Linked DNA regions of Caenorhabditis elegans. The protein of the gene in region 1 interacts with the protein of each later gene in a pairwise test. Each region holds a gene or a part of one and is shown in the gene's direction. Other genes may lie near its edges. The genes, in order: ant-1.1, pqn-54, mpz-5 and cdap-2.

Region 1 (8,106 bases):
TTTTAATTTATTTTTTTACAGTACTGAAATTCTGTCATAATTTCTCTCGTAATTCGACACAATAGCCAATTATTGGAAATTTTGAATTTGGAACGTCTTTGAAGACATGTCTTATAATTCGTCGAAATCAAAATCGGAATCATCCAAATTCAAATTCTATTTTTCGAATAATTGACCATTGTGTCGATTTACGAGAGCAACGGAACTTCAGTACTGTAAAAACATAAATTGATACTTTTTTGCTTGCCAAATCATGCAAAATCGTCACAAAAAATGTCTGAAAATGTGTCTCTGGAGTGTGCAAAAGTTGTTTCAAACTACACAAGACTCCCGGAAAGCTACTCAAGATTCTACTTTACGCAGGAGTTGTGCAAGATTGTAGCAAGAATCCGTAAGAGTTTCACTCTACGTAGGACTTCATCGATCAGCGGTGTCACGCGTTGTTAAAAGCTGTAATAAAAATATGTTACCTGCGAAACGAGACGGAAGTCGTGAGAAACAAGAATCATTCCTCCTGGGAAGCAGTTGATAGCCTCGGCCAATGCATCAATGGATTCCATATCCAAGTGATTAGTAGGTTCGTCAAGAAGTAGAAGATGTGGTTGCTGCCAAGCCAACCAGGCGAACGATACACGACAACGTTGACCGTCAGATAGCTGTTTCATCGGGCACACCTGGAAATAAAAAATGTATTACTAGCTATTCATGATTAGTTTATGCTAACTAACCTGTTCTCTTCCAGTAATTCCATATCTTCCGACAATCTTTCTCATTTCTTCCTTTTCCTTGACATCTGGGAACTCCTTCATCATGAATTCAAGAGCCGATAAGTCCAATGGAAGCTCTTCGTGGAGATGCTGAAAGGAAAAATAAATTATTTAGAAAAAAATTAATTTATAATTTCAAAAAATTATTATTTTTTATTTTTTCCGTGAAAAAATTCCAACTCGATGATTATCGACAAGGGGGGGGGGGAATAAATTATTTCTCAATTCTATCAGGAGACGTCCGGCTCGCAAATGAGGTTTGTTTTGAAACAATTGCTAAACCTTATTCAAAACAATAATTTCAGCGAAACAAAAGAAACCGATAACAATCTCAATGAACAGTCTTCTAATGTTCCTGTTCCTGCAGATCCTCTGCAGCCCGAAGTTAAAAAAGATGATAAACAAGAGAGTGAGATGAAAACTGCGAAGGAAAACTCTCAATCTTCGAAGAGAAAGGGAAAAAGTTCCAAGAAATCGTCAAGCAGCAAGAAAACTCGATCGCGTCTTTCAATTCGTCGCACTCTCCGAGATGATCCCAACAAAGAGATGAAAGCCACACTGCTGACATTTCAAGCCATTCGAAATAAAGGCGATCAAGCTCGTGTTCAACTCCTTCTCTGCAACATTTCTGACCGTGACATATTCGTCAAGCTCCGTTGCAGCGCGGCGTCAAACATCACAGCTCTTCCAGCAGGATCAGGACACATTGCACCGAAATCCCAAATGCGCATTCTTCTCACTTGGCAGAAGCCAGATGGTGTCACTCAGTGGAGCGAACTTGGTACGCCTAAGCTTCTGCTGACAACTTATTTCATGCATCAAGGAATGAAAGCGGCTGATGAGGCACCAACTAACACGCGTCTAATGGCTCGTGTGAGCACCTCGAAGCAGTGCGATGCTGATGCTCCACCAATTGAGCAACTTCTTCTTGATGCTGTCGGCAAAGATTTGGGTGTTACTCCGTGAGTTTTGTTCAATTTAGTTCAAAGTCTGATATGAAAGTGGTCAAAAGCCAGGCTAAATTAGCATATTTACACAGACGATATCTAGAATATTCCCACACATTTCGACCAGAAATTTAAGAATAAGAATGATCAATTTCAGAGCTTCAACAACCAGTCCAAACACTGCTGTTACACAGGCTATGACACCGACTGAGCAAACACCAGCGATGAAAACTGTGAAGCAAGATGAGCATGCCGAGGAGGAAGTTGACAATTTGAGATGGATTATTATCGCCCTGGTCTTGGTCATTGTCTTGCTTTTGCTTCAGAAATAGTGTAACTTTCGAATTGAATGAAATGTTTTTCACTAAATTTTTGGATTTTCTAATTTTGTTTGGACAGCAGATTTTTTTCATAAAAATTCCCAACCTGGTGATAACGTCCAATCTTACAATGCGAATGTCTTCTGATCAATCCGTCAGTTGGCATCACATCAGTACAGAGAAGCTTCAACAGTGTCGATTTTCCAGCTCCGTTAGGTCCGACCAAAGCGATTCTGGTATCCAAATCAATTCCAAAGTCAATATCCTTATAGATCCATGGAGTATTCTCGTTGTATCGGAATGAAACATGCTGAACCATGATAACTGGTGGTGGAATCTCCCCAGCATCAAAGAAGTAAAACTGTTTCACGGTTTCAGTGACAGCCTTTTCAGCGAGGCCTCCGGCAATCATCTTAGCCATAGTTTTTTCTTTGGATTGAGCTTGACGAGCGAGTTTGGCAGAACCGTGACCGAACCTCGCGACGTAATCTTTCATGTGTTGAAGTTGAGACTGTTCCCAGTTGTATCGTTTTTGTTGATTTTCGAGCAATTCAAGACGTGTCTTCACAAACTGGTCGTAGTTTCCTCCATAGTAAACCAATTGCTTTTGGAACAAATGAATGATGTTGGTGCAAACTCCGTTCATGAAATCTTGAGAGTGAGAAACCACCAACAAGGTTCTTTTATACTGAGCGAGTTCCTCCTCAAGCCACACACAAGCTTCCAAATCCAAATGATTGGTCGGTTCGTCGAGAAGTAAGACTGACGGTTTCAGGAAAAGTGCACGAGCGAGAGCAATGCGCATTCTCCATCCTCCAGAAAAATCTTTACATTTTTTCATTTGCATAGTTTTTGTGAATCCAAGTCCGTGCAAAATTTCGGCAGCCTTCTTTTCAGCGAGAGATGCATCCATTTCATCCAGCCTTTCGTAAACATCCATCAGCTTGTCCTGACTTTCCTCATCAGTCTGACTAGCAAGCTGCTCGGCAAGATGTTCCAACTCTTTTCTGACTGAATCGACATCAACGACCGCTTGAAGAGCAGTTTTCTCTGAAGCAGGCATTTCACGGGATACGAGGTACATATCCACGGACTCTGGGATTGGCATTTCCTTGTTGTAGATTGCCTGAATGATGGTAGACTTTCCAGATCCGTTCAATCCGATGAGTCCGTAACGACGTCCACGGTTGAGTTCGAGTTTCGTGTCAACGACAATTTCACGACCGTGGAATGTAATCTGAATGAAAACAAAGTTACTTGTTGGAGTCGCCAATTAAAAACCACTTACCGTCAGGCTTTCTACTCTGTGATCAAGACCCTTTGGATCGGAAGTCAATGATCCGGCGACTGAACGAGCAGCAGCGTTTTCCAATTCGATTTTGGCCAAGGTGGCGGCGGCCTGATCGAGCTCCTCGTCTAAACAGCAGAGACTGTTGACGGACGGATGTTGAGATGACATGGCGGTTGGTGTTTCTACCTGGAAATGAGATGATTATTATTTGTTAAACAAAAAAAAACTAAAAATCAATTGCTCACCTTCTTTTTTCCTTTTCCTCCTTTGGCGGCAGCCTTCTTAGCGGCCTCGCGTGCTTTCTTCGCATCAGACGGCATTGTTGTCCAGCAGTGATGCGGATGGGGTACCCTAAATTTTTATTTATTTATCTCTCAAATACACGGAAAAAGCGACGGATAAAAAATACGAGAGCGAAAATTCACATAAACTAGACGAGAAATCCTCAAAAAAAGCAGGAAAAGAAATATTATTTCAACGAAGCGAAGGCCTTTGGCATGGCACAGTGATCCAAATGGTGAACGTAGTCAGCCATCTCCTGATGGCAGGTCTCCTCAGTGTTAGAACGAGAGTTGACACGATCGTTGCACTCGTCGAGAATACTCTTGAATTCGGTGACATGGTCGGCACATCGCTCACGGTATTGAGTAAGTTGATCGACGTCAGCCTCGAGTGGCTCTTCCTTGTGGCTCGACATACTGATACCCGAAAAAAATTCCATGATAGTGACAAGTCATTGGCTCGATGAGAAGAGAAATATGAAGAAAACTACTTTAAAGCGATTCGAAAAACCGGTCATACCAAACTCCCGTAGGCATAAATTAGCCACAATGCGATATCGATTTTTTTCGGAACATTGAGGTTACGAATAACCAGTTATCTACAGTGTAAATAAACAAAAAACACTTCAAGTACTGCTTATCACTAATACACTATTGTGTTTGCTTTGACATGGCTCATAATTTTCATAAAAACTGAAACTTTCGCAATTAAGTTACTTTCTTGGAGTTATGACCTATTTTTCGAAAATAAATCACGTTTTTTTAATAAAACAAAACGTGAAAAATTCAGGAATGAAGGAACGAACACGTTTAGAAAAGAAAAATACGAAAAATCGATAACAAAACTGATATTTAGGCTCAAAATATGCAAAAAATCCCAAAACTGGGCGGTCAGAGAAAACTAGTGTTTGAATCGCCGCGCCTGACGCACCGTACTTGCGAGCGTGGCGAGACCTGCAAAGTGCCTCACGGGCTGTGCGCGCACCCCGTTTCGACGGGCGGCCGTCTTCCCACTATTGCTTCTGGCAAGCACCGACCACCGAGGTCCTTCAATCTTGAATCATGTCCAAAGAAAAGTCCTTCGACACCAAAAAGTTCTTGATCGATCTCGCCTCAGGAGGTAAGCTTTTTCAGTTTTTATTGCAAAAATTTGGAGGATTTCTATAATTATTAATTTTGGGTTTTCATTCGTCAAATTTGTGATTTAATTAATTTTGTTTTCTTTTAGGTACCGCTGCTGCCGTCTCCAAGACCGCTGTTGCCCCAATTGAGCGTGTCAAGCTTCTCCTCCAGGTGTGTGATGAAACTTTTTTCCACTATAAATATGAAAAATTTTAGGTCCAAGATGCTTCCAAGGCTATCGCCGTTGACAAGCGTTACAAGGGAATCATGGATGTTCTCATCCGTGTCCCAAAGGAGCAAGGAGTTGCTGCCCTCTGGAGAGGAAACCTCGCTAACGTCATCCGGTACTTCCCAACTCAGGCCATGAACTTCGCCTTCAAGGACACATACAAGGCAATCTTCCTTGAGGGACTCGACAAAAAGAAGGACTTCTGGAAGTAAGTTAAACATTGCATTATTGTTTTTAGAAAATTTCACATTTGAAATTCAGGTTCTTCGCAGGAAACTTGGCTTCCGGAGGAGCTGCTGGAGCCACCTCCCTCTGCTTCGTCTACCCACTCGACTTTGCCCGTACCCGTCTTGCTGCTGATATTGGAAAGGCCAACGACCGTGAATTCAAGGGACTTGCTGACTGCCTTATCAAGATCGTGAAATCCGATGGACCAATCGGACTCTACAGAGGATTCTTCGTCTCCGTGCAAGGAATTATCATCTACCGTGCCGCATACTTCGGAATGTTCGATACCGCCAAGATGGTCTTCGCTTCTGATGGACAGAAACTCAACTTCTTCGCCGCTTGGGGAATTGCTCAAGTTGTCACAGTCGGATCTGGAATCCTTTCCTACCCATGGGACACTGTTCGTCGTCGTATGATGATGCAGTCTGGACGCAAGGATATCCTCTACAAAAACACCCTCGATTGCGCAAAGAAGATCATCCAAAACGAAGGAATGTCCGCTATGTTCAAGGGAGCCCTCTCCAACGTCTTCCGTGGAACCGGAGGAGCCCTCGTCTTGGCCATCTACGACGAAATCCAGAAGTTCCTTTAAATTTGATAACACTTTGATAATTTTTACCTTGTCATTGTCCAACAAAATCTCGTTATGTAGCTTGTTTTAGCAAAGTAGTTCACCTAGCTACTATGTTAAGTTTTCAAAAATAAAGCGAGCCACATAAAAAGTTTTAAATCCTCTATTAAAGTTTTCCCCTTTTCAAATTCTCATTCTTTCCCTCAACACCCCGATTGAACATTCGTTAGGATAGCCCCTTTATCTGGACTCGGTTTGACAATCTCGGTTATTGCACCTGTGTTTGCCGTTGATCTTTAAAATTACTCGAACAACAATAAAACGTTGTTGATTTTCCCTTCGTTCAATTATGTGCCACAGAAAGATTTCAAACCGTAGCCGTTTATTAACGATGAGATTTTGTTTCGCAAGCAATGAGGTTCATTTGGGGTCAGTGGGGGAAGTGAATGCCAGGGAAAGCGAGAAAACAATGTGAGTAGGAAAGTGCAATAGTGAATAGTTAGACGTCAGAAGTGTCTGCGAAGTACGCATGGCGTAGAGCTGCATCGGCATCGATTCTTCCTGCTGGATTGCAAACAAGAAGTTTCTGCAAATACTTCGAGTTTGAGTAAGTATAATTTTTATTGGAAAAAAGTTACCTGTAAAAGATCACGGCCACGTGAATTCAAATTAGGTACGATTTGGCTCCATGTAAGCGTTGGATGGTAGATTGGGTAGGGCTGAAAAATGGTATGTTATACTTGTGTGTTCCTATAATGCAATGGAATTCAATTAATTATTGTCAATCTTAAATCTAGAACAGTTGTCTCTGCTTCTCTAAATCTACTCAATACTCTGTTCTCTGTCCTGTCCCAGCCGCCCGTGATTGTATGAATTACGTCACCCGAACAAACAGCTGAGCTCAAAGTACTCAATATCATTTCTTCTTTCTATCTTTTTCTTTTTTAGTTTTTCACCAATTGACACGGGCGGATAGTAGTCGGGAGGACAGGACAGCGGCAAAATCGTGGCAGGTAAAATGGAAAAGATAAGAAGACGGAATTAGAGAACTAAGAGAATTTGATAAGAATATGTAGAGGTGAAAATACAAAAAATTCAAAGAACTACGACATGTAATACCTTATAATCTGGAAGTTGTGTAATTGATGGCCAATTATCTTCGGATGGGCTGCCCAATTGCTTAAAAATTCGTTTCAATTGATCGTCAACATCAGCACCGGGGAATAATGGACGACCGGCATTTGAGATCTCTGAAAAAGTAAAAATTAGGAAAATTTATTGGCAAATTTAATTTTTAAAAAAAACCTGCAAAAATACACCCGGCAGACCACATATCAATTGAAGTATTGTACAATTTCGCTCCAAAAAGCACGTCCGGCGGTCTATACCATAACGTGACAACTTCTGCACTAAAACATCGAACTGGGACGCCAAACGCCCTGGCTAATCCAAAATCAGCTAGTTTCAGTGTCCCATTTGTATTAATCAGCAGGTTTTGCGGCTTGAGATCTCGATGAAGTACATGGTGAGCGTGGCAAAAGGATAAACCACGGAGAAGTTGAAGCATTAAGGATCGTGCAGTTTGTGCATCCATATACCCATTCAGCGAGTCGAAAAATTTTTTCAAATCCTGATCGCAATACTCAAAAACCAGTGTCAACTTGTTTTCTGAGTGAACAACGTCGTAGAGCCTTACTACATTTCGGTGTTTCAGCTCGCGGAGAATACAAATTTCACGGAGAGCAGAGCTTGGAACACCCTGAATTTGAATTTTAGTTTATTTTTTTGAATGCTTTTTGAGTACCTCATCATCATCGTCCAACCTTACTCTTTTCAACGCAACGATTTCTCCTGAATTTTTGTTTCTGGCTTTGAAAACGGTTCCGTAGGTTCCTGAAAGTCAACAATTTGGCTGGAAAAATGGGCAGGGAATAGCTTACCTTCTCCAATTTTTTCCATTTTATCATAGTTAAGCATTTTTGAGGTGGGAAAACTGATTAAATTTCTTCTCTTGTAAACCTTGTAAAAATTAAATGAAAAATCGAATTCTTAGCTTCACAAAATCAATATGCGTCAAGGAGTGGTTGCTGGCGTACTTTGCGATGTTTGTTTGTGTCTCTCAAATCTCTATGCTCTCTTGTTTGCGCATTTCTCGTGTTTTAATTCGGCATTCTCGTGGGAGAATAAGATCTTATAAATATAAGATGTTTTGTTCTGTTATAAAGTTTATGAATTTTTTAAAAATATGTTCAATTTCAGAATGTTCGCATCTGACGTGAAGCATGATAAAATTGCGAAAATCCCCCTCTACACAGATGACGATTTGGACTTTATAAAAGTCGATATTCTC
Region 2 (7,967 bases), on another chromosome or scaffold:
TTTTGAGCTTCAGAAGCTCAATGGCTTTTTCCACTTGACCGCGAAAATAGAAAATTAAAAAAAAACCGTTTTTGACAATTTATTTATCATTGCATAAAAAATTGCTCGACTTTTATCCTTTTTATCAAAACATCCATCATTTTTCTTAATTCAACATTTCTCTTTTCAGAAATTTTCCCCCACAAAACATGGTGCAATCCGGAAACGAAAACCCAAAGCCCCTGGTGGCAATTTTTGGCGCCGGAATGATGGGAAGCGGCATCGCACAGGTCTGTCTTCAGGCAGGCTATCCCGTCAATTTGTACGGTAGAAGCGAGAAGAAGCTTTTGGAGGCCAGAGAGACTATCAAGAAAAATCTAATTCGTGTCGCTAGCAAGAAGAAGACCGACGTTCCGATGGAACCAGCAGCCTTGGAGGAAATTGCTCAGATTCAACTTGATTTGCTCCAGATTCATACTGATGTAAGTCTTAAGTTTAAGCTTAGGCTTAAGCTTAGGCTTAAGCTTAGGCTAAGACTGAGGCTTATGCTACACCTTAGGCTGTCTACACCCGGTCTATAAAATCTGGAAGTAAAATATTTCAGATTCCGTCCGCTGCCGAAGATGCTGCAATGGCGATTGAGGCTGTGGCCGAAAACTTGGATCTGAAACTTGACATCTTCCAGACAATTCAGAAAACTTGCCCACAGTGAGCATTAAATTTTTTTAAAACATTTTTATAATTTTTTTTTCAGAAACTGCATGCTTATCACGAACACCTCGTCTCTAAAACTGTCTCAAATGCTCCCAGTTATTCAGAACCCGGCACTATTCGCTGGGCTTCATTTCTTCAACCCTGTTCCAGTGATGAAGCTTGTAGAAGTTGTATCAACTGATGAAACTTCTCCAGAGACCACAAATTTCTTGTTCAACTTCTGCAAAGAAATCAAAAAGCTGCCGGTCGCCGCGAAGGATACTCCTGGATTCATTGTCAACCGGCTATTGATCCCATATCTTATGGACTCCATTCGCATGCTGGAACGTGGAGATGCAACTAAAGAAGATATCGATACAGCCATGCGATTTGGAACTTCTTACCCAATGGGACCAATTGAATTGTGTGACTATGTTGGACTTGATGTTCTGCAGAGCACTTTGAAAAGTGAGATTTACCAACTCCTTTTCTAGGTTTTATTGAACCCTTTCTAATCTTTCAGTCTTCCGCGAAACCATCCCTGGTGACGCCCGTTTTGCACCAATCCCACTTATGGACAAATTGGTCGCTGAAGGAAAGCTTGGCAGAAAAACGAAGCAGGGATTCTACACGTATTGAACACTTTTTGAGCATATTTTTTGTGTACACTACTTGCCAGCTTTTTGATGTATATTTTGCTTCTTACAGGTCATAGTTTCAGAGAAATAAATATTTACATTTGAAGTTTTTGATAATCTAGAATTTTTGTAATAATGTCCATAACATGGAAAATGTCTAAATTGGCACATTGAAGTAATTCCCAAGTTGAAGTAAGTTGTCTCAGGAAAAGTACACTACCGAACTGGTGCAACTCTATATTTACTAAAAATAAATTTCTGGAACAGTTTTTTGGTATTTTTCAAATAAGCTAATATATTTTCTTTGTAATATTCAAGAGCGTATCTATTAAATTTATGTTTTCAAATGTAAATTAGAAATTCTTAAATATTGCCAAAAAATAATTTAAAACAATTTTTTGAAAAACGATTCAAAGATTATTCACAATAAGATTATTGAAAAATATATGATAAGACGTTTGTAAAGTTTAGTTTCAGATCAATAATAAAAATTGTTATATTTTGCTCATGAATTATTTATTTGCTTATAAAAAAATCTTTTAGATAAATTCATCTATAACCTCTCAAATTCTTCTTTCTCTTCTTTTTCCTCCTTCTCTGGTAGTTGTGACAATTTCCTGCCAACCGTTGATAAGCTATTGGTTTTCACCAAGTAATAAATAAAGAACATATGACCACAAGAGACGAACCCGTAAGAAATAAATATACAAATTGCAAAAGTTGCCGGTAATGGGAGAATAATGACTAGAACATCTTTTAAAACGGAGAACGTTTGGCACAACGCGTTGTGCATTCCGAATACTGTATTTCGTTCTCGTTCTGGGATGGTGACTTGCATTATGTGAGTGATAGCCAGATCCAGGCACCACAATCCTGAAAATTGATTATTAAAATTAATTTTTAAAAAATTCCTGATTTTTTTGACATTTCCTAATATGTATTAGTTAAAACTTGAAATTTGACCGGCTTTTCAAGCGGCTGGAAACAATTTTTTTTTTGTAATTACTGTCAAATTTTGAGTACAAAATGTAATTATGTTGCGTTTTCAACTTGAGATTTTTAATTTTTTTAAACCAAAACTTGCCGTCCATCGACTTTAAAATACCTATATGAAGTTAAAACACAAGATAATTACATTGTATACTTAAATTTTGACCATGGTTTCAAAAAAAGATAGTTTCCAGCCGCTTGACAAGTCGGTCAAATTTTCAATTTTAACTAATCTTAGCCCATTTTTTGAGCCGTCATAACTTTTTTTTGAGAATTTTTCAAGGAGTTTCATTATAAAATTAGGAGTTTTCAGACAATTTTGAGCCTGATAAGGTAATAAAAAATTCGACTACACCACCTTAAAAAAAACCCAAACTCACCATATCTTGCGGATGCAATCGCAATCAAGAACACAAAGATGCTGGCCAAACTGACACCATCAGACGAAAAGTGCTTCCAATCAACATGTGGGTCCAAGTTTGTAGCGTTATTCCCGTCGAAAGAGTGAACCATATCGTGCCACCAAGTTCCCATAGTGAAGTTTCCAAAGTATCCACCAAGGTTCATAGGAGATCCCGGGAGGAACACGGATATAACTGCTAGAACCGCAAAAAACTGCTGAACAACCAATCCCAGTAGTCCTGAAGTGGCGACACTGTATCGCTTTTCGAAGAATGCGTAGGAAAACGCTCCAAGGATCGCAGTCACGGATCCATAGGATCTGAATGCTCCGATAACAAATTCCGGAAGCCCTACACTTGAGCCATATCCTACAGCTAATCCATCAAATCCCATCACTGTCATGAATAGAAGACTCATTCCAAATGCAGCTGGGAATGAGATCTGGCACCAGTACGTGTAAACCACAGATTCTTTGAGCCTTGAATTGGCGAATGGGTCTAGCGCTTCATCTTTCTTGTCTTTCTTCACTTGAAGCAGAGGATTGGAGATGTAGATTGCTCTAAGGAAAATGGTTTTTGAAGCCATTGAAACAAGAGAGGCTATACCAAATATTCCAACTGTTTCACGAAGACCAACCCAGGTCACCAGAGCCTTAACTTAGTTTGTTTTTACTTTGGAATTAAAAAGCGAACACAGAACTAACACCAGTTACTAACGGTGCAATAACATTGGTACATTGATCCAATGTCAACAGAGTTGCGTTCATATTCGACAGTGTACCATCATTTCCGAGTACCATAACCCAATCTCTGCCTGTGATGAACTTTTCCGCGTTCAGGAAAAGCCGGTTCACCGCGCATATGCACATTGCTAGAACCAGGCAGACTATGTACCACGGTGACGTGGCATCGATAGACAGACAAGCTTAAAATATTTTAGCTTCGAGTACCTACATCAGTGTCAAATTAGAACTCACTGATAATAAGAGCAGCTGCAGCACAAATACTCAAATTGTTCAACGGTACGACGGTCATGATTGCTGAAATTGAAAACTTGATTTTCTCTTACAAATACTCACGAAATAAGTATTTGATTGTAGTTTTTGTTAGGTCAATGTGATACTTGAACAAATCATTTTTGCAGTAATCGAAATTTGTAAAAATGAATCGTTCACGTGGAGTCAGAACGTCCCATTTTGCTGTGATCTTCGAAAAATGCGAGAGAAGAGACGCAGAGATCTCATCTGATTTTGCATGGTTAAGAGCGTGCTGACGTCACAATTTTTCTGGTAAAATATTCCCATTTGTCGTAGATCGAACCGCAATGAGGCAGGCTGACACCACGGGATCGTTTAGTTGTCTACCGTACCCCGTTTCCTCGAGAGCCCGTCGAAATGCTTTCCTAAATATCCGCTGAGAAACATTTGCAAGACTCCCTCGAAAAGCTGCTCAATGGAAACCACTCTCATACCACCCATCAGGTCCATACAAAGAGAGACACAGAATGACCAAGCCCTGTCTTCCTGTAAATAGTATCGAAAAATTGAATGTTCATGTTTTTCCACATTGAACTAAAAAACAATTTTGAAGTTTATAAAAGTATGCGAATTTCTTTTTTTTTCTTCCTAGTTTTAAATTCCCTCTACACTCACCAAGCATGTCGAAATATAGGCACAATACAAAAATATGCTCGTTTTCGAAAGGGTGCCACTGTTTCGTCGATTATTCGGTTGTTGAAAAGTCATTGTCACAGGAATCAAACTGGAAATCTCTGCACTTCCATCGCCCGCGACACACTTACTGATTTCCATGTTAGCGATAACCTCTATATATTCTGTGATAACGGGCAGGAAGTTCAACAAAGTGTTGGTGCACATACATCATGAATTTTTTCTCTTGTCAATCAAAGATTATTTGAATAGGCCACTCGAGTGCACTGCTCACCGTCTCTTTTTTTTTCATCTTTGCTCGTCTTACCGAACACTTTTTCACGCGATAAATTGTTTGCCGCGCGGCATGAGAAGGCGGAAGATGGTTGGGATAGTTTCAAGCGAGATGGTATATAAGCCCACAATCAAATGGAAATACTCATCCGATACTTTCGGCTCTAATCATGCGCTTCACCTCCCTCGCCATTGCCTTCTTCGCCTGCGCCCTAGTGGTGTCTGTAAGTTGTGCAAGATCTAAAAATTTGAGTCTACGAATATTAATTTTCAGGGCAATGTGCTTCGTGAGAAGAGACAATGCGGATGTGCTCAACCCCAGCAGAGCCAATGCTCGTGCCAACAGGTTCAACAGACTCAATCGTGCTCGTGCCAATCTGCTCCAGTTCAGCAACAATCCCCATCATGCTCTTGCGCTCAACCACAACAAACCCAGAATGTTCAGGTTACTAGCAAACTTATGCTATAGCTCCAAAGAGAGACTTTCAGGTCCAAACCACTCAATGTGCTCCAGCTTGCCAACAGAGCTGCACCCAACAATGCCAGGCTGCACCATCGGTAGCCCAGTGCCAGCCACAATGCCAACAGCAGTGCCAATCCCAGTGCGCTCCAATGTACAATCCACCAGCCACCACCACACCAGCTCCAGTCGTCCAATGCCAGCCAATGTGCCAACAGCAGTGCCAATCCACCTGTGTTCAGCAACAACAACCAGCTTCCCAATGCCAGCCACAATGCCAGCAACAGTGCAACGTTGCCTGCGATGCTCCAGCCACATCCACTCAGGCACCACAAGTAGTCCACATCCAACTCGAGATCCAACAGGCTCAAGCTCAATGCCAACCACAGTGCCAGCAACAGTGTCAATCATCCTGCACCCAACAACAACAGCCAGCTAACCAGTGCAATTCGGCTTGTAACAGCCAGTGCTCCAACATTTGCCAACAAACTGCTCAAGCCACTCAACAGGTCTACAACCAGAACTCTAACACCAACACCCAAATGTACAATCCATACAACAACAACAACCAAGGTTCCGGATCCGCCAACTGCGCCCCAGCCTGCCAGCCAGCCTGTGACAACTCCTGCACTTCTCAGACTCCAGCTCCAATGTACAACCCATACGATGCCAGCACATCCGCCCCAGCATCTTCCCAAGCTGTGATCCAAATCGTTCTCCAATCCTCCGTCGCCCAGTCCTCCCAGTGTACTCCACAATGCGAGCAGTCGTGCCAGCAGCAATGCGTTCAGCAACAACAACCAGCCGCTCAGTGCCAGTCTGCCTGCCAGGACTCGTGCTCCAGCTCCTGCCAAGCCGCTCAGCCAGCGACTACGGCTTGCCAGCAGAGCCCACAAAGCCCACAAAACTCGTGCTCCTGCCAAGCTAACTACTCTCCATGCGGAAATGGACAGTGCTGTAGAAGAAAGTGAACGGACTCTGAACAATGACTTCAAGTTTTTGTATATAATGAAACCAATTAGTTTCACAAGAACTTAATAAACAACTTTGATATTTTAATTGATTTACATTATTTGGTTTTTTATTGTCTAGAAAATGAACAATGACTACAAAACTTATAGCTGGCTCACAGTTTATTGACTAGATTAGCACTAAAAAATAACATGGCCGCTTTTCAAGGAAAGGTTTTTATTTTATTTTATTTTTTAATGTCAGACTTCAAAACGAGACAAGTGCCATTTAAAAGTGTTCCATAAGGATATATTACTACAAAATTTTAAGCGGCAAAGCTCCACTCTCAACCCCTCTAGCATCGATCTGAAACTGTTACAGTGCACTTCTTCACTACTTTGGAGGCCTGTAGAATTGCTCCAAATTTTTTTTGTTGCAAACTTTCAATGTTTTTCAAAACGGTTAAAAGTAGGTAAGCATTCTGGAAAATTTTTGAAAATTTTTAAATTTTTTCAAAAAATCTGAAAAATTTTTGAACCGAGTGGAGTGGATTGAGGAAATTTTTAGATTTTTTTTTCAAAAATTTTTTAAAATTTTTAAAAATTTCCCAGAATGTAAACTTATTTCTAGCCGTTCTAAAAAACATTGAAAATTTGCACAAAAAAAATCAGGACCAATTCTACTGGCCTGAAACAATTTAAGATCGAAATTTTTGGGGTTGAGAGTAGAGCTTTGCCGCTTAAAATTTTGCAGTGACATAGCCTCATGAAACACTTTCAAATGACACATGATGGTTGCATATTACGAAAAAATGTTTCCTATCGATATGTCTCGGTCACCATAGAACCAAGTCTAATGTGAACACGAGACCATAAGAGACATAGAGAGTGAGACGCATTGCATCTTGTGAGTGAAGAGACCTCTGTGCCTCTTTCTCTCTCATCTATCGATTTGCATTTTGACTTGGCTTTATTTTCGGGGTTTTGTGGATTTTTAGAACCTGAGTTTTGTAGCTTATTTGAAATATCATATTTAATATTTAAAGGTGGAGTAGCGCCAGTGGGGGTTTTGTTTAAATGCACTTATAATGATCCAAAACAACCGAATATCATAATAATAATAAAACACTCCAAAAAATTTTAGATTTTTCATAATTTCTGATCAAAGTTTTGGCAAATCGCCAAAATTTTGAAAAATACGAGCTTTTGAGGAAATCCAAGGCAATGTCGCATGTTCACACCCCTACAATGTTTTAATACAAATAATTAAAACAAAATTAAAGTATAAAAAATGTAGGAAAAAATAAGTTTTTTGGTCGAGTTCCAAAATTACGAGTAGCAAAAACTGTGTAATTGCCACTTTTTGACAGTAAATAAAAAATTTTCAAAAATTTTTTGGAAAGTTTTATCATGATATTTGGTCATTTTGGGACTATAGGAGTGGTTTTTAACAATTTCCCCACTGAGGCTACTCCACCTTTAAATTTGAGGAATCAACCCCCACTGCTCTAATATGGAACATCGTGACGACGACTTTGAATTTGGACATCAATTTGGCGGGGACGAGGAGGAGGAGGAAGAGGAAGAAGCGATTGATGTGGATAGTCCAGATGAGTTGGATGTTGACGCCGAACCTGATGACGACTCTGATATGGAAGTCTATCATATGGAGACGAATGGAGCCGCCAATGGAAATGGAAGACAGGTCATTGGAGAAACGGGTGATGAAGAGGAAGATGATGACTATGATGAAGAAGACGCAATGACTTGGGATTCGATGTCAACAATCAGTGAAGTTGAGGTGGAAAAGGATGATGACGAATGGTATCCATTGATGAAGAGAGATAACGTGTTTCCGAACTTTGCATTACCAACTACCACGTGAGTTTTTTCTCTACGGTTTTTCAAAAAAT
Region 3 (7,341 bases), on another chromosome or scaffold:
CATTATACAGTTGAAAAGACCTTCAGAATTTTATTTTTATCTGTTTTAAAGTTTGATATCAATATAAGTTTTATAAGACTTACAATTTAAAAAAACAATGTCTTTTTTCCATAAAAAACAAATTATTTTTGTGATAATCTGGAAAATGTATACAAATTTCCGGTGGAACTTTCTTTTTATTAAACCTTTTTTTGAGATAGAAATACGGAAACTTACTCGTTCTTGTTGTCGAAGATTAAGAAATCGAGGCCTATAACCCATTTCCAAGAATTCTTTCAAAGTATCCGTTCCACCAACAAGTGCAACTTCCATCATTGCATCATGATAATGATTATTGATAAGATAAACATCTGGCTTCTTGGGTCCTTCCGTCATTAAAATCTCTCGTACAACATCTCTTCCATCTGTTGATGCTGCATAAATAAGTGCCGTATTACAGTTTGGAATCGACGCAACATTCGGATCGGCGCCCAATTCAAGAAGTCGTCGAACAATAGTTTCACTGGAACTTGCAGCCGCTTCCATTAGAGGAGTGATTTTTGATAGTTTATCACCACGAAACTGCATAACTCCAATTTCGTGAGAATACTCAACAAATTGTTCAATCTGAAGGAATAATTATAGTTTGAAATTTCATGAAAAACGTTTCTAAATGACTTACACCAACTCGAGCTGCAAGAAGAAGCATTGCATTTTGCTGAACAATTTGACTATCAATGGAAGGAAGTTGACGAAAATTGATTATCGAATCTTTTTTCTCGTTATTCGAAGGTGTGGAATCGAATACTGAAATTTAATATTATTTCTGTTTATTTTCTTTATTTTTTTTTCCAGAAATTTATCACCGTCCATGTTATCGTCCATTTCAGTCAGTCACATCATAAAGCTAAAACAAACAGTTTTTAAGCATATTTTCTTATTCTGTACTAACACTCAATGTCTATTATAAAATGTTGTTAATGTTGTTTTACTTTTATTTTGTGGATAAGTTCAAAGCGTTACGAGATCCTAAGGCATTTTGAAATCAAAAAATGTTTGAGCATAAAAGCTTGATTTTGTAATATTTGTACGATTTTTGTAATATAGTATGAAATAACGGGCTGTTTTTTTAATCAAAACTTACCACCATTCTCGTCGCTGAGTTGGGTTTCATCGTTGTCTTCAAGCGAATCTTCGTCAAAAACATAAATATCACGAATCGCTGCTTTCATTAATTCTTCGGCGAATGTAGTGGCAAGAAAGCTGAAAAATAATTCTATAATGTTTTTTTTATTTTTTCAGGTTCCTTTTTTCCGTCAATCAATTTATAATTTTCAAAATGTCTAGAAAATTGAGCATGAAATGCGATTTTGTATTCAAAAATAATAACAAAAATTTCATTTTCATAACTTTCGACTGCAACTTTCGACTTTTTCGGAAACTTTGCAAAAAATAACCTATTCCGCAATGTCATTCCAACGTGTTTCATAGAAAATGGAAAAAAATGGCGCTCCTGATTTTCAATTTTTCGGTATATAATTTTTGATATGTACTTTGTATAAGTGCTAATTTATTTAAGGTGAATACTCGAAAAATTCCAATTACTTATTCAATCAAAAATTTCAATTTGAAAACTCACGAGTAAGCCATCGAGGAAACCGAGGTAAGTGCATCGACAGCATTTTTGATTGGAACCTTTTTGGGATCCAAAGGGTTGTACGGTCCAAATCTTTCAGGTTTTTCACTTTTATGATCTTCAAGAAGGTCGGATATTTTAAAAAGGATTTGACAATCATCCATTTGTCGACTCTGAAATTAATAAAAATCGAGACTTTAAACTAATTGAAATATTTACCTCAATTATATCGAGAAGGTTGGAGACCGGGGGAAATCGACACTTGTCCGATGAGAGGAAATGCTCAAAATTGAGAATTTTGAGAACAGTTGAGATGGCTTTTGTCGGAAAATGCTCACAGTCATCGTCTTCGATTTCGATGGCAATTGTGTGAAGGCAATCGTAAAGCTAAAATATAAATTTATTGAAATTTTTTTAGTCGAACAAAAATAGCTCACCCTAGCACCAAAGTGGTAAAAAGATGAAAAAACTCGTTGTCGTTTTTCTTCGTCTGCTCCATCCATATCCATTTCTAATGGAATGAGGTGATTGAACATATTAAGGTGAGCCATTCCACCTTTGGCTAAACTAACACGGTGGTCTCGTCGCTTCTGAAATTTTTAAAATAATTGATATTGGAAAATTCTGAATTTTTAAGCAAAAAGGAAAATACAAAGAAAAATGATTGTTTTAACTGAAACAATAATCTTAATGGTAACTTTTCAAAACAAAAATTTTCTTCCGGAAACCTATGTGGCAGGTGAAGAGGATAACCCATAATTTCAAAATGTTGGAAAACAATTTATTGTGTTTCTTCCATGAAAGTAAGACACAGGCGATGTTCGGAGAAGTTGTAGGCGCGTGACAGACATAATACACGTCTTCTTCCATCTGCCCTTTTCGTTTCACTATCGGAACAACGGCATGGCAACGGGCATGAGGAGGAAAGGAATTAGGGAGGATGTGAGAAGATGAATCGATGGATGATAGTGATAAAGAAGGAACATATTGATTATTGTTCGCAATAACATTCTAGAAAATTTAGAAAATCCTAAAATTAGCATTCAAAAAAATAAATGACTTCGTAGATCCGAAACGCATGTTACTTTTTGAATTAAACATAATGATTTCTTAACAATCGATATAAACAATTTTCTCAAATATATTAAAACTAACTTTATCAAAACTAGAAAAAAATTATGGAGGATAATCCGAATACTCGCGCATAACGCATCCTCCTTTTCCCTAACGAAATCCAGTTACGAGCAATAGAAATGTAAACGAAGTAATATGAAAAATGATTTTGCAAACTTCAAAAATTAAATGAAACTGAAAAATTCAATATTCCTCCCAAAACCATGCAAGAATTGAGTCTTGGAAAGCTGGTTGGCAAATTCGAAAGAAAATAATGGGTTCGTAAAAGCGTCAGCACGAGAATTGCGCCAGCAACTTGTGCTGACGCATTTGCTGTGCGTGCTCCCAAAAAATAAAAAAAAGGTTTTTATGTTTTGTGAATAAAAAAAAGTTCTGTACAGAATTCTGTTTAAATGTTTGTAAAAAACAGAAATCGACAATTCGTGATAAAGAAGAATAGTTTTAAAAATTGTGTTATTTTAATATTAAATTTAATGTCACGTTTCCAATTATTTGGATTTAAGAAAACGTTTTATAAAACCTGAAAATCAAAAAAAAATCATTTCCCAATTGAGTTTTCATACAAACCGATCGAATTATGAAGAAAAATGAAAGCGGCAGCGTAAGACAACTGAAACGATTCAAAATAAACATAAATGAATTAAGTTGGCTCTTGATAAAGATTTCAACATTGACAAGCTTTTGCCAAAGGAATTGATCGACCATTTCATGATTCGAAAGCCAATAGGAGTTCGTGTACACAAGCAGGATTGTCGGGTAATTGTCAAATAGTATTTATTCAAATTCTTGAGCTCTTGATCTTGATTTTGGGACACCATACATAATTCATATTCAGATCACACATGTCCTTCCTGAATCACATCTTATTGGAAAAGCATTTCTAGGTGATTGTATCACTGCAATCGATGAAAAAGTTATCCACACTAGTGACGAGTTGCACCAAAAGTTGAAAGAGAAAACTGAGGTGTTAATATTTCTGAATCGAGTGTTTGCAAACGAAAATTTCAGAATATTCATCTACAACTGAAACGTAACATGTTTTCCTGGTGTTTTCATATTCGAACAACTGTTGAGAAAATCCAAATTGACAGAGATTTAGAGAGAATCACTCCAAATCCTGTTAACCATTACTTTGTGAGACAGCTTTTTAAAAATTAAAAAAAAAACTTTCTTATTTTAGGTTCTCATAAAAGTTCGTCCAACTCCTGAAATGCAATTCATTGACTTGGGATTATTTGTCAAATATAACAATAGAGATCGTTTGGAGGTAATTTAAACTTACAGTAACCACCGCATTTCATTTTCAGGTTGATTATGTTACTCCAAACAGCTTAGCATCCATCCATCTGAAATCTGGAGATGTCATTCGGGAGTGTAATTCTCAGGCAATTTGCTCGAAGAGCATGCTCCGTTATTGTATTGCGAGCAGCATCGCTTCTTCTGGACACTTTACGCTTCTTATTGAAGCACCAATTCGAGATATTCTCAGAGATCACATTGATTTGGCAGATGATGTTGTGGCAATTGCTGATAAGGCGGTAGAGGAGTTCAGAAAATTGGGGAAAGGATATCTACCACAACAACCGAAGAAAGGAGATAAGAAGAAAAACATCAAATTGAAAGAGGGACGTACAGAACATCAGATCGTTAGTGACATTGATCCTGCTAAACTGAGAGCGTGTAAAAATGCTAGCTGAATTTCTCTGATAATAAAGTTTCTACATTAAAATCCTTAAACATTCATAATTAAATATTATACGTTAACAGCAAACAAAATAGTGTAAGAAACAAATATGAGAAAAACTGCGGTTCAAATGGGTTCAAATAAAGCCAGGAACTAAAATGCGAACCGGATATGGATAATTTAAAGATGTAATAGCAATTTATCGTACGAGTTGAAGAGTCTGACCAACAAGAGACGTCACGTCAACTGTTGGATGGACCGCCGATCCATCGACATTCTTCAAGGCAATCTTACCGTTCCAGAGATCAAGAGCAGAGCGAACCTGAAACAAAAACAGATTTAACATTTTAAATTTCTAGGAAAACCCGATAAACATACGTGATATAGAAGATCAGCATATCCCTTCAGGTGTTCTTTTTCTGTTTTCACATGAACTCGAACTTTCTTTGATCCATCAACAACAGTGATCCCATCGAAACTGTCACCTTCGGCGAACAACCAAAGCTGAAAATAATTGTTCAGGAATATTAGAGAACATCAACAAAAACGGAATTTACCTCAACTTCTGAATCCTTAATTGCACTCTTGCTGGTGGCAGTTGGAGCCTTTGCAGCGGCTGGTGGTGATCCCAACTTGATAGGTGTTCCAGTAGCGGATACAATGTCATTCAATTTGGCAGCAACAACCTTTGCGAGTTGAGAATCAGCTGGACTAACAACAATATGAACATGAGCAGTATCAGTAGATACAAGTTTAGCCTGTTTGCGAAGACGTTGAACACGATTTGTCACTTCTCTGCAGAGTCCTTCTTCAATAAGAGACTCATCTTCAGTTGTATCAATCATTACAATGGTCTTTGCATCCGAGTGAGTTTTGTATCCATGTCCTTGATCACTTCCAGCCGCGTAGCTAACAGCAACTTCTTCCGAGGAGAGCTCATGCCCAAGCACAGTCAATTTTCCTTCAAGAAGGAATTTCTCCAACTCAGATTCAGTGATTTGGTTCTTCAAGTAGTCAGCAACCTTCTTTTGTTCTCCCTTGAGACGAGCACCCAGAATTTTGAAGTTTGGCTCTGCCTGTAATTTTAAGTATTATATTTTGAACAAACTTTTTGAAATTTTAATACCTTTAGGGTGATTCCGTATTTCTGTTTATCTTGTGAAACGGTCAATTTTCTGACGTTCAACTCAAGAAGAATATATGATTCCAAACTTTTTACGTCTTCCAAAAACTGACTGTCTCTGTTAATAACAATCATTTCCTTCAATGGATATTTCACAGCAAGTCCTTCACGATCGCGAACAAGACGAACCAAGTCGATAACATTTCTCATAACTTCAACTCGTCTTTCCACAGTCTCGTCGATTAGACTCTCATCCGGTTTTGGGAGCATCAGGAAGTGAACTGATTCCTCAGTCGAACCAATGACTTTCTTCAAATTTAGCCAGATATACTCGCAGAAGAATGGTGTGAAAGGAGCCATCAATCTAACAATCAAAATGAGAACTCGTCCGAGGGCTGCCAAAGCGTGATGTTGCTCATGAAGTCCGTTGTCTCCCTTGACTCTCTTTCTATTTAATCTGATGTAGATATTTGTAAGAGTGTCAAAGAATTTTGTAAGCGGTCCAACAACAGCATAAAGCCGATAACTATCCATTTCTTTCCGAACAAACGCAACAAGACTGTTTGTAAAGGATTCAATCCACCGATCCATGACATTTTCACTGGCAACATGAACGTTCATGTCAAACACATTTCCAGTTTCCTAAAAACGATAATATTTCAATCTCATAATTGTTTCAACATGAATAAACTTACATGTTCATATGCTTGTACGTTTTGTACAAAGAATCTGTAGGCATTAAACCATGGAAGGAACACATCCTTGAGAAGATCTCTTACGCCTTCTTCTCTGAATCTCAAATTTTCTCCTCTAACCACAGGAGAGTTGATGAGATAAAGACGCAAAGCATCGGCTCCGTACTTGTTAACAATGAGCATTGGATCGGGATAGTTCTTCTTACTCTTTGACATTTTTGCTCCATCCGACGCCAATACGAGTCCGTTACAGATCAGGTTCTGGAAAACATTTTTGATTTAAATTAAAATATTGAAATTGTACGAACCTTGAATGGTGGCTTGTTGAACAAAGCAGTTGACAGAACTAGAAGTGTGTAAAACCACCCACGGGTTTGGTCAATTCCTTCAGCGATGAAATCAGCTGGGAAATTGTCTTCGAAGATTTTGCGGTTCTCAAATGGATAATGATTCTGGGCATATGGCATGGATCCTGATTCAAACCAACAATCAAAAACTTCGGAAACCCTCTTGAGAACTCCCCGTCCTGAACGAGATGGGATCGTAACATCATCAACGCTGGAAATTTGCACTGTTAATTTATAAAGTCATCGTATTTTATGAATAGTAACATGTTTTTTAACAAACCTTTCTCTATGAAGATCAGTGATTTTTTGTCCTGAAAGCTCTTCTAATTCAGCAATACTTCCAACACATACAACTTCCTCTCCATCTTCGCTCACCCACAAATTGATTGGAGTTCCCCAGAACCGATTTCTCGATACAGCCCAATCGCGAGCATCTCTAAGCCAGTTAGCAAATCTCTTTTCCTTGACAAAAGCGGGAACCCAGTATGTCTCATCATTGTTAGCCAGAAGCCTTGGAATCAGGGTTTCGACGTTGATGAACCAGGATGGAACAGCCTTATAGAGAAGTGGAGTGTCAGACCGCCAACAGAATGGATAGGAGTGCTTCACTTCCGCTTGTCTGACAAGATTTCCCATTTCCTTGAGTCTCTTGATAATCAACTTATCAGCATCTTTCACGTAGACTCCTTGATAATCTGGAACTTCTGATGTGTATTTTCCACTTTCATCAACTGGACAGATCA
Region 4 (8,836 bases), on another chromosome or scaffold:
CGAGCTCGGCAAATTCGGCAAATTTGCCGCACACCCCTGGTTCCTACATCAGTTTTGAAAAGCAAGCAAATTCTATGAAAATATTCAAAGAAAACGGGAAAAAATTTCAAAAAGGCACAGTTTTAAGTGTTTCCGTCTTATAAAAAATCCCTCTAAACATTTCCGGCAAATCAGCAAACCGGAAAATTGCCGGAATTCAAATATCCAGTAAATAGGCAATTTGCCGATTTGTCGAATTTGTCGACAAAAAAATTCGCGCGATGTTAAAATCGAAAAAAAAACTTTAAAAAATTGAGATTTTGTCAGTTTTCTGCATTTTCCCAAAAATTTCAAAAGCTTTACGGTTTTCAAAAAAAATAATCGAAAATCAGTTCGATTTTTTGGTCCAAAAATTTTTTTTTGGTTTTATTTCAAAAATATTTCGAAAAAATAAATTTTGAGTCCTTTTTATCAAAAACAAGCGCGAAAAATTGATTTTTTGAAGGAAAAAATTGAAAAATTCGATTAAAAAAGTGTTATTTTGATTTTTAGACAAAAAAGTCTCGAAAATCGATTTTTATTCAATTTTTCCACCAATAAAACGAGATTTTCTTATCCTTTCCAAAAATGGAAATCATTTATTGTGACCGTTATTACTGTAACACAAAACTCGTAAAAATGCGTATTCCGTAACATATTTGACGCTCAAAATATCTCGTAGCGGAAACTACAGTAATTCTTTAAATGACTACTGTAGCACTGGTGTCGATTTACGGGATCTCGATTCTTGACATGAAAAAAGTAGTTTCTTTGTATTACCTATTTTCTCACTTTTTGCTTAATTTTTAAATCTTAAATTAAATTATTTGAATTCATTTCAAAAATCGAGCCCGTAAATCGACACATGCGCTGCAGTAGTAATTTAAAGAATTACTGTAGTTTTCGCTACGAGATATTTTGAGCGTCAAATATGTTGTGCAATACGCATTCTCACAACTTCGTGTTACCGTGTAATATCCGTCATAATGAATGAGAAAGCGTGTCAAAAATTTGGAATTCTCACATTGTTTTCAATCTAAAAATTAAAATTACACTTTTAGTTCAAAAAATTCGATTTTTTTTCAATTTTCGTTTAAAAAACCGAGATTTTAATTTTTTTTTCTTTTCAAAAATTGAAATTTTACACCTTTTTTTTTCAAAAAAAATTTCGAAACTTTCACAATTTTTTCGCATTCTCAGAATTTTGCATTTTCGTATTATATATTCCTAAATATGTCATCTCGATCAAAATATAAATTTACGAGATTTTATTGTTTTGGCCGCGTTTTTTTCTGTTCACAGGTCATCAACGCATTGAAGAGGGGGGTGGGGGAGGGGGACACGTTCGAAAAGTGATTGATCTTTCCCGCGGCGGCGCTCGATAGGAGACACCACTGCGATGACTCATTCGGGGGAAACTCACACAATTGAAGAAGTGAAAATTGAAATTCACTCCACGTTTTTTTTCAAAATTTTTCTCCACATCTCCCCACTGATAACAGAAGTTTTTGACTTTATTGCCCCACATTTTCCACCATCACTGCACAAACAATTCCTTATCGATTTTCGCCTTTTTTTTTGGCCGTTGTTTGGTTTTTTGACGTTACCTTGGAAATCTTGAAAAAATCACAAAAGTCTTTATTTAATTTTAAAATTAAAAAAAATTGTGATTTTTTCCAGAATTGTATCCGAGAGCCGCCTTGAACTGTTTTTTTTGTTGGACACTCGCGGATCGAGGACAAATGGCACAAGTTGGTGAAGTTAGTATATTTCGTAATCTCTTTTTTTTTTTTTTTGGAAAATTGAGAAAATTGTCGAAAAAGTCATGAAAATTGCAAATTTTTTGGATAAAAAAAATGAGAAAATTGCCATTATTTGATTAAAAAAATTAAAAAATTCCGACTTTTTAGAAAAAATAATTCGATTTTTTAGTATTGAGATTTTTAAAAAAGTGTGAAAATTTTGTTTTTTTGCAAATAAAAAACATTTGAAACATTTCCGTTTTTGGAAAAAAAAATTGTAAAAATTAAGATTTTTGGGCAAAAAACGTAAAAATGTTATTTTTTGATTGAAAAGATTTAGAAAAATGCGATTTTTTTGTCAAAAACAATTGGTAAAAATAAGAGTTTTCGGAAAAAAAGTGTGAGAATTTTGATTTTTTTTTAAAAAAACAGATTGTAAAAATTATGATTTTTTGAAAAAAAAGTTACAATTTTTGGGATAAAAATATGGGAAATTTTGGGATTTTTTAGGAAAAGTGAAAATTTTTTATTTTTTCCAAGTAAATGTGTAAAAACTGCAATTTTTAAAGAAAACATATGTAAAACAAAAGAAAATCGGAAAATTGTGATTTTTTGAAAAAATAAAAGACTTCAGATTAAAATCTTTATCTAAAAATTGCCAATTTTCAGACAGAAGTAGTCGCTGGAAATGTGCGAGATATTGTGAATCGACTTTCCCGAGATATGACAAATCGAAATCCATTTACAGTACATCAACAGGTGGAACGGAGAGGTTTGTTTTAGAAAAAAGTTGGAAATTTTGAAAAAAAAACCGAAAAATTTGAGAATTTCAGTCGAAAAAATGAAAAAAAAACCGGAGATTTTCTCATTTGTGAAAATTTTTCTTTTTAAATGTTTCTAATTTTTAAAATTTAATCACGTTATTTCGAGCACCAAATCTTTAAAAAATCATGGAAATCGTGGCGAGACCCATTTAATCCAAAACCGGCGCCTTTAAAAAATGTTTGGATATTTTTTCAGTATGTATAATATTTGAAAACTGGAAGAAAAACTATTTTTGACGAATTTGAAAAAAAAGATAAAATTACAAGATTTTTGTAGAATTTAACTAGAAAAATGTTCAGATTGGCCGTTTTTTTGCTCCGAATTTTCTAGAGCTTTGGTCCGAGAAAATAGGAAAATTTCTCAAAAAGCTCTAGAAAATTCGGGGAAAAAACGGCCGATCTGAAAGTTTTTCCAATTAAATTCCACTAAAATCTTGTAGTTTTATTAATTTTTTTTCAAATTAAAAAAGATGTTTTTTTCTTCCAGTTTTCAATTATTATTATTATAACACTGAAAAAAAGATCCAAACATTTTTAAAGGCGCGGGGCTTGGATCGAATGGGTCCCGCCACGATTTTCGTGATTTTTTCACGATCTGGTGCTCAAAAACTCGTCGAGGGACAATATTAAAATAGCTCTAACAATTAAAAAAAAATCATGAAAATCCTGAAAAAAAATATCTAAAAAATTCGAAAAAAAAAATTAAAATTTGTGTAAATTTACAAAAAAATAATTTAAATATTTTTTGCAGCTCCCCCTCCACAACCACAAGCTCAAATATACGTGGCCACGTATGCCTACAGCTCAAAACAAGACGATGAGCTAAGCTTTGTCGTCGGAGATCTCATCGAACTGATCTCTGATGTTGAAGATGGCTGGAGTAAGGGAAAACTCAAGTCGACTGGAGCCGTCGGAATGTTCCCGACGAATTTTGTGACGTTGAAGCCTACGCCGAGCACATCTGCTGCTGCAGTTGCTCCAGCGGCTAGTGCATCAACTTCGGCGGGCTCAGCAGCTCGAACTCCGGCAAAATCGATTGGAAGTGAAGTTGTGATGAGAAGCGAGCCGAAAGCTATTGATAGAACTCCGTCGACGGTTCGTGTAGCGAAAAAAATCTGAAAAATCCCAAAAATACAGATTTTACTTAAATATCGGTGCCTGAGACATCAGTTTTTATGGCAAAAATTCAAATTTTTGGAAAAATTCAAATAATTTAAATAATTGAAAATCAACAATTTTTTGTCGATGAAATCCGGAAAATTGGCAATTGCCGGTTTGCCGACTTGCCGGAAATTACGATTCCGCCATTTTACCGATTTGCCGGAAATTTAAAAGTTCCGGCAATTTGCCTATTTGCCGATTTATTTTTTGATTTTCAGCTAATTTTTCATTCAAAAAATATAAATATCCAAACATTTTTTTTTTAATTTGTTCCAAAACTCTTTTTTTTCAGCTTTTAATTGTAAGTTTCTGGTTAGAAGTGAAAAAATTTTTTAATTAAAATTTGTTACATTACAATTTTTTATTAAAGTTATCTTCGACAAAAACAAAAAAAAACTGAAAAATTAAATTTTAAAAAACTGAAAAGAAAATAGTTTTTTTCCAATTAAAAAATTCCATAAATGGCTTCTCAGCACTTTATTCAAACATTTTTTAAATACAGAAACTGAAGAATTTCACTTAAATCAAATAAATCAAAATTTCAGATAATCTCGGACCCGGCTCCAGTGCTCAAAGCCTTGGAAACCAAATTCAGCAGCACATTTGCGAGCTCTGCAGCCTCGGCGAGCACAGACGCAGAAACTACGAAAACGAAAGAAATGGCTCGCGTGAAATTTGTCTACAATCCCCAACACGATGATGAGCTGGCTCTTAAGGAGATTGATATGCTGATTAATATTACAAACAAGGTGCAAATTCACTGAAATCGGAAAAAAAAATCAGGATTTCTGCAATTTTTAGATAAAAAGTTGGAAAATAAAATGGGAAAACCTTAAAAAATCGGCGAAAATTAAAATTTTGGGTTTTAAAATTGTTAAGTAAACTAATAAACTAATATATTTTCAAGCAAAAAAATTAAAAATTTGAGGAATTTATTCTACAAATTTCAAGTTTAAAGTCTAATTTTTTTTCCAAATTTTAGACTTTAAATTTGAAATTTGTAGATTAAAATCCCCAATTTTTAATTTTTTTTTTCATTATATTTGCTTGAAAACGTCATATTTATAATAAACTCCAACTGGAAAAATTATAAGTTTAACAGAATTTATCAAAATTCAAATTTTCGCCGAATTTTTTATCCCCAAAAATTTTCAGAATTTAAAAAATCGAAAATTTACTAGAAAATTTCAAGAAATTTTTTAAAGTTGTTTTTTAAAAGTTTTTTTTTTGCTAAAAATTTGAAATTTTTTGCGCAAACAGTTTTGACTTAAAAAATCTTAACAAATTAAAAAAAAATTTTTTTGAAACGCTGCTTTTAACAATTTGAGAAATTTTATTCAAAGAAAACATAACCTAACATTTATTATTTCATATTAATTTTTTTAAAAAATTTTTGCAAAAAAAATGTCTGAAAAATTCAAAAAACGGCTCTTCAAATCAAATATTAAACAAAAAAATTAATAAAAATTTGGAAAAAAATATTTCTAAAAAAAATCGATAAAAAAATTGAATACCCTGAAAAATCCGGCAAAAATTTTAATTTTTGGGTTTTAAAATTTCCGAATTAGACTTTAAGTTGGAAATTTGTAGATTAAAATGCCAAAATTTTAATTTTTCTCTTTTTTTTTTGCTTAATAACAATTTTAAAGTCATACTCATGCGAAAAATAAATATTCTAAATTTTTATGATTTTTTTAAAAAACAGTTTCGACTTAAAAAAATACATGGCCTGAAATTTATAATTTAATATTAATTTAAATTTTCAAACTTTTTTTGCAAAAAAAAAAAAATTCAAAAAACGGCTCTTCAAATCAAGTATTAAACAAAAAAAGCTATTAAAAATTTGGAAAAAAATTATTTCCCAAAAAAATTCAAATTTCTACTAATTTTTTGCAGAACTGCGGTGACGCTGGATGGTTTGAAGGTGAACTGCACGGAAAGAAGGGCTTATTTCCGGATAATTTTGTCGAATTGGTTCAAGTCCCACTGGGAACGGAATCCGGTGCCAGACATGGGTCGATTTCACGTCAGGCGACATTGACGTTTGTCTCTCACAAACCACCACCAGTCAATCCACCACAACCGGCTGTTCCACCGAAACCCGCGAAAATTTCAGTGGTGAGGAGGGGATTTATTGAGAAAATTGAAAAAAAAATGTTTCACTTTATTTCTGGAAATAATTAATCCTAAAGTTGTGTGATTTTTTTTTTCTGAAAATTCCTTTTTAAAAAAACCGAAAAAAATTCTGAAAACACTCCAAAATCGGTAAAATTCAAAAATTGAAAAAAAAAAAAAACTAGAACATTAATATACATAGAAAATTCGAAAAAAATTGGAATTCGCCGAAAAAATTGAAATTTTTTTCCGTTTTATCGATTATTAGCAGGAAAAATAAAAATTTAGGTTTTTTTCGCTGAAAATCGAAAACTTGCCAAAAAATCCAATATTAATTTATTTTGAAAATTAATATTTCCATAGAAAAACTTTTTTTAAAAATCGTTTTTTTTTAATTTTGAAATATTTGTTCAACAAACAATCTTTATTTTCCTGTTGAAAATTAATTTTTTAAATTAAAACTGGTGATTTTTAATCTTAATTTTCAGTTTTCAAATTAGTTTTGGTTAAAAAAAACCGGCAATTTCCCGAAAATTTCCGGCAAATCGGCAAATTGCCGGAATTAAACATTTCCGGCAAATCGGCGAATTGCCAGAATTCAAAATTTCCGGCAAATCGGCAATTTGCTGGAATTGAAATTTCCGGCAAATGGGCTAATTGCCGGAATTACATTTTCCGGCAAATCGGCGAATTGCCAGAATTCAAAATTTCCGGCAAATCGGCAATTTGCTGGAATTGAAATTTCCGGCAAATGGGCTAATTGCCGGAATTACATTTTCCGGCAAATCGGCAAACTGCCGGAATTAAACATTTCCGGCAAATCGGCGAATTGCCAGAATTCAAAATTTCCGGCAAATCGGCAATTTGCTGGAATTGAAATTTCCGGCAAATGGGCAATTTGCCGGAATTCAAAATTTCCGGCAAATCGGAAAATTGCCGGAATTCAAATTTTCCGGCAAATCTGCAAACCGTCAATTTCCCGAAAATTTCTTGCAAATCGGCAATTTACCGGAATTCAAAATTTCCGGCAAATCGGCAAATTGCCAGAATTCAAAATTTCCGGCAAATCGGCAAATTTCCAGAATTCAAAATTTCCGGCAAAGCGGCAAACCGGTGAATTGCCGGAATTTAAAATTTCCGGCAAATCGGCAAATTTCCAGAATTCAAAATTTCCGGCAAAGCGGCAAACCGGTGAATTGCCGGAATTTAAAATTTCCGGCAAATCGGCAAACCGACAAATTTGCCCACCCCTGTTATGTAATAAAAACTTTACGAAAAGTAGGTAATCTGAGAGCCGACGCCGAAATTTCTTTACGACGGGGGCACCTCTCATGAGTTTAGAAAAAAACGATGGAAAAATCAAATCTCCACCTACTCAGAATATTATGTGAGAGACACAGAGACACCTCATCCTCCCACGAGAGAAAAATTCGTTTTTTTTTTCTGTCTCCCGACATACACACACACACTGAATTCTCGATCATTGGGGAGAGCTGTCGGCGTCTCTCACACATTCCCTCACTTTTTTTTTGCAATTCTAATTCAATCACTACAACAAGAATTCCAGTAAATGTTTTTTTTCCTAGTTTTTAGACTCTTTTCCAGTACAAATTTTCGGCGCCATTGAATTTTTAAAAAAAATCAGAGACCACATTATTGTGTGCAAAATAGGATGATAATTTGAACATTAATTTCCAGTCGCTGTGATTGAAATAAGTTGACGAAATTTCAAAATTTTAAGGAAAACTTTACTTTTTTTTCCAATTTCAAGCTGCCATTAAAGCATTTTTCGAGAATTTTTGTTTTGGCCAGTTTTAAAGGTGGAGTACCGAAATTTGAGACTTTGTCTTTTTAGACCCAAATTGGTCCAAAACTACCGAATTTCGTAATGAGACGTTCTGAAAATTTCTCAAAAAAAAAGTTATGGCGGTTCAAAGTTCTGCAAAATAAGGCCCATTTTCAGCTAAAATCAAATTTTTTCCAACTTCTCGGTGTTGCAACGTCTGGAACCTAATTTTTATATATTCATCACTTTTTAATAAATATTGTGGTCTTTGATTGGGCGTTTATTCGTTGTTTTAAGCACATTTCTGGTCAGTGGGACACAAATAAAAGTTACATTTTGTGCCCGTCTGACCATAAATGTACTTAAATCAACGAATAAACGCCCAATCAAAGACCGCAATATTTATTAAAAAGTGATGAATAAATAAAAATTAGGTTCCAGACGTTGCAACACCGAGAAGTTGGAAAAAATTTTGATTTTAGCTGAAAATGAGCTTTATTTTTCCGAACTTTGAACCACCATAACTTTTTTTGAGAAATTTTCTAAACGTTTCATTACGAAATTCGGTAGTTTTGGACTATTTTGGGTCTAAGAAAGCAAAGTTTCAAATTTCGGTACTCCACCTTTAATCCATTTTCAGTTAGCAAAACTACAAGAATTTCACTGATTTTTTTTCTGATAGACTCTTCCAGCAAAAGAGTTTTATGTTTTTTTTTAAATAATTAACTACGGAGGATTTTCAAAGTCAAATTTTTGCGCAAAATGAAAGATAAAATTTTCAAAAAAATTCCAACAAAAAAGGTTCAGTCTACCTTTTATTTGATGCTTTTTAATTTATTTTTTTTAATATTCTGAAAATGTTTTTTAAAAAATAAACAAAACCAATTTTCTCAATTTTCCAGGCCGACCCACCACCTTCTACCATAGCTCCAGCTGCTCCATCTGCTCCAGCTCCAGCTCCTTCTCAACTGAATCCCACATCCACCTCACCAACAATGCCAGCCATTGCTCCGTCGTCTTCGGCTTTGAAGAGCAATTTTGCGGCGCTTCAAGAGAAAATGTCACGGGTGAGAATTGGATTTTTTTGTTTGAAAAAGTCACTAAATCTCAGAGTTTTTGGAATTTTTTGCATATTTTGCTTTAAAAATTATAAAACATTTCACAAATTAAAAAAAAATTCAGAAAATTCT

Evidence for each region.
Region 2: the proteins of ant-1.1 (region 1) and pqn-54 interact in a two-hybrid assay, tested with the Caenorhabditis elegans proteins (one large-scale study listed by BioGRID).
Region 3: the proteins of ant-1.1 (region 1) and mpz-5 interact in a two-hybrid assay, tested with the Caenorhabditis elegans proteins (one large-scale study listed by BioGRID).
Region 4: the proteins of ant-1.1 (region 1) and cdap-2 interact in a two-hybrid assay, tested with the Caenorhabditis elegans proteins (one large-scale study listed by BioGRID).

The regions. Positions count from the first base shown.
Region 1 is NC_003281.10:13,458,563-13,466,668, forward strand, and holds ant-1.1 (ADP/ATP translocase), read left to right. Parts: upstream 1-4,600; 5' UTR 4,601-4,668; coding exon 4,669-4,726; intron 4,727-4,834; coding exon 4,835-4,899; intron 4,900-4,944; coding exon 4,945-5,165; intron 5,166-5,218; coding exon 5,219-5,777; 3' UTR 5,778-6,090; downstream 6,091-8,106. Other genes in the region: abcf-2 (ABC transporter domain-containing protein), read right to left, coding at 471-674, 729-857, 2,141-3,271, 3,323-3,511, 3,571-3,645; tag-164 (Major sperm protein), read left to right, coding at 1,020-1,024, 1,073-1,729, 1,872-2,046; T27E9.2 (Cytochrome b-c1 complex subunit 6), read right to left, coding at 3,795-4,022; cdk-5 (Cyclin-dependent-like kinase 5), read right to left, coding at 6,256-6,342, 6,395-6,475, 6,876-7,006, 7,062-7,515, 7,561-7,649, 7,697-7,733; kel-3 (BTB domain-containing protein), read left to right, coding at 8,017-8,106.
Region 2 is NC_003283.11:1,460,200-1,468,166, forward strand, and holds pqn-54 (Prion-like-(Q/N-rich)-domain-bearing protein), read left to right. Parts: upstream 1-4,790; 5' UTR 4,791-4,814; coding exon 4,815-4,868; intron 4,869-4,918; coding exon 4,919-5,089; intron 5,090-5,133; coding exon 5,134-6,075; 3' UTR 6,076-6,161; downstream 6,162-7,967. Other genes in the region: hacd-1 (3-hydroxyacyl-CoA dehydrogenase), read left to right, coding at 189-461, 584-687, 734-1,140, 1,196-1,311; fpn-1.2 (Solute carrier family 40 member), read right to left, coding at 1,864-2,183, 2,681-3,353, 3,406-3,626, 3,679-3,741, 4,071-4,224, 4,354-4,446; gid-8 (CTLH domain-containing protein), read left to right, coding at 7,568-7,935.
Region 3 is NC_003282.8:10,369,771-10,377,111, reverse strand, and holds mpz-5 (PDZ domain-containing protein), read left to right. Parts: upstream 1-3,289; 5' UTR 3,290-3,326; coding exon 3,327-3,350; intron 3,351-3,394; coding exon 3,395-3,505; intron 3,506-3,584; coding exon 3,585-3,713; intron 3,714-3,757; coding exon 3,758-3,883; intron 3,884-3,929; coding exon 3,930-4,016; intron 4,017-4,056; coding exon 4,057-4,446; 3' UTR 4,447-4,474; downstream 4,475-7,341. Other genes in the region: Ankyrin repeat and KH domain-containing protein mask-1, read right to left, coding at 217-606, 662-786, 1,124-1,242, 1,619-1,788, 1,835-2,002, 2,053-2,166; iars-1 (Isoleucine--tRNA ligase, cytoplasmic), read right to left, coding at 4,633-4,755, 4,812-4,937, 4,991-5,509, 5,560-6,198, 6,252-6,512, 6,560-6,809, 6,879-7,341.
Region 4 is NC_003279.8:3,323,536-3,332,371, reverse strand, and holds the start of cdap-2 (SH3 domain-containing protein), read left to right. Parts: upstream 1-1,698; 5' UTR 1,699-1,760; coding exon 1,761-1,778; intron 1,779-2,429; coding exon 2,430-2,532; intron 2,533-3,335; coding exon 3,336-3,679; intron 3,680-4,290; coding exon 4,291-4,494; intron 4,495-5,641; coding exon 5,642-5,863; intron 5,864-8,548; coding exon 8,549-8,713; intron 8,714-8,836.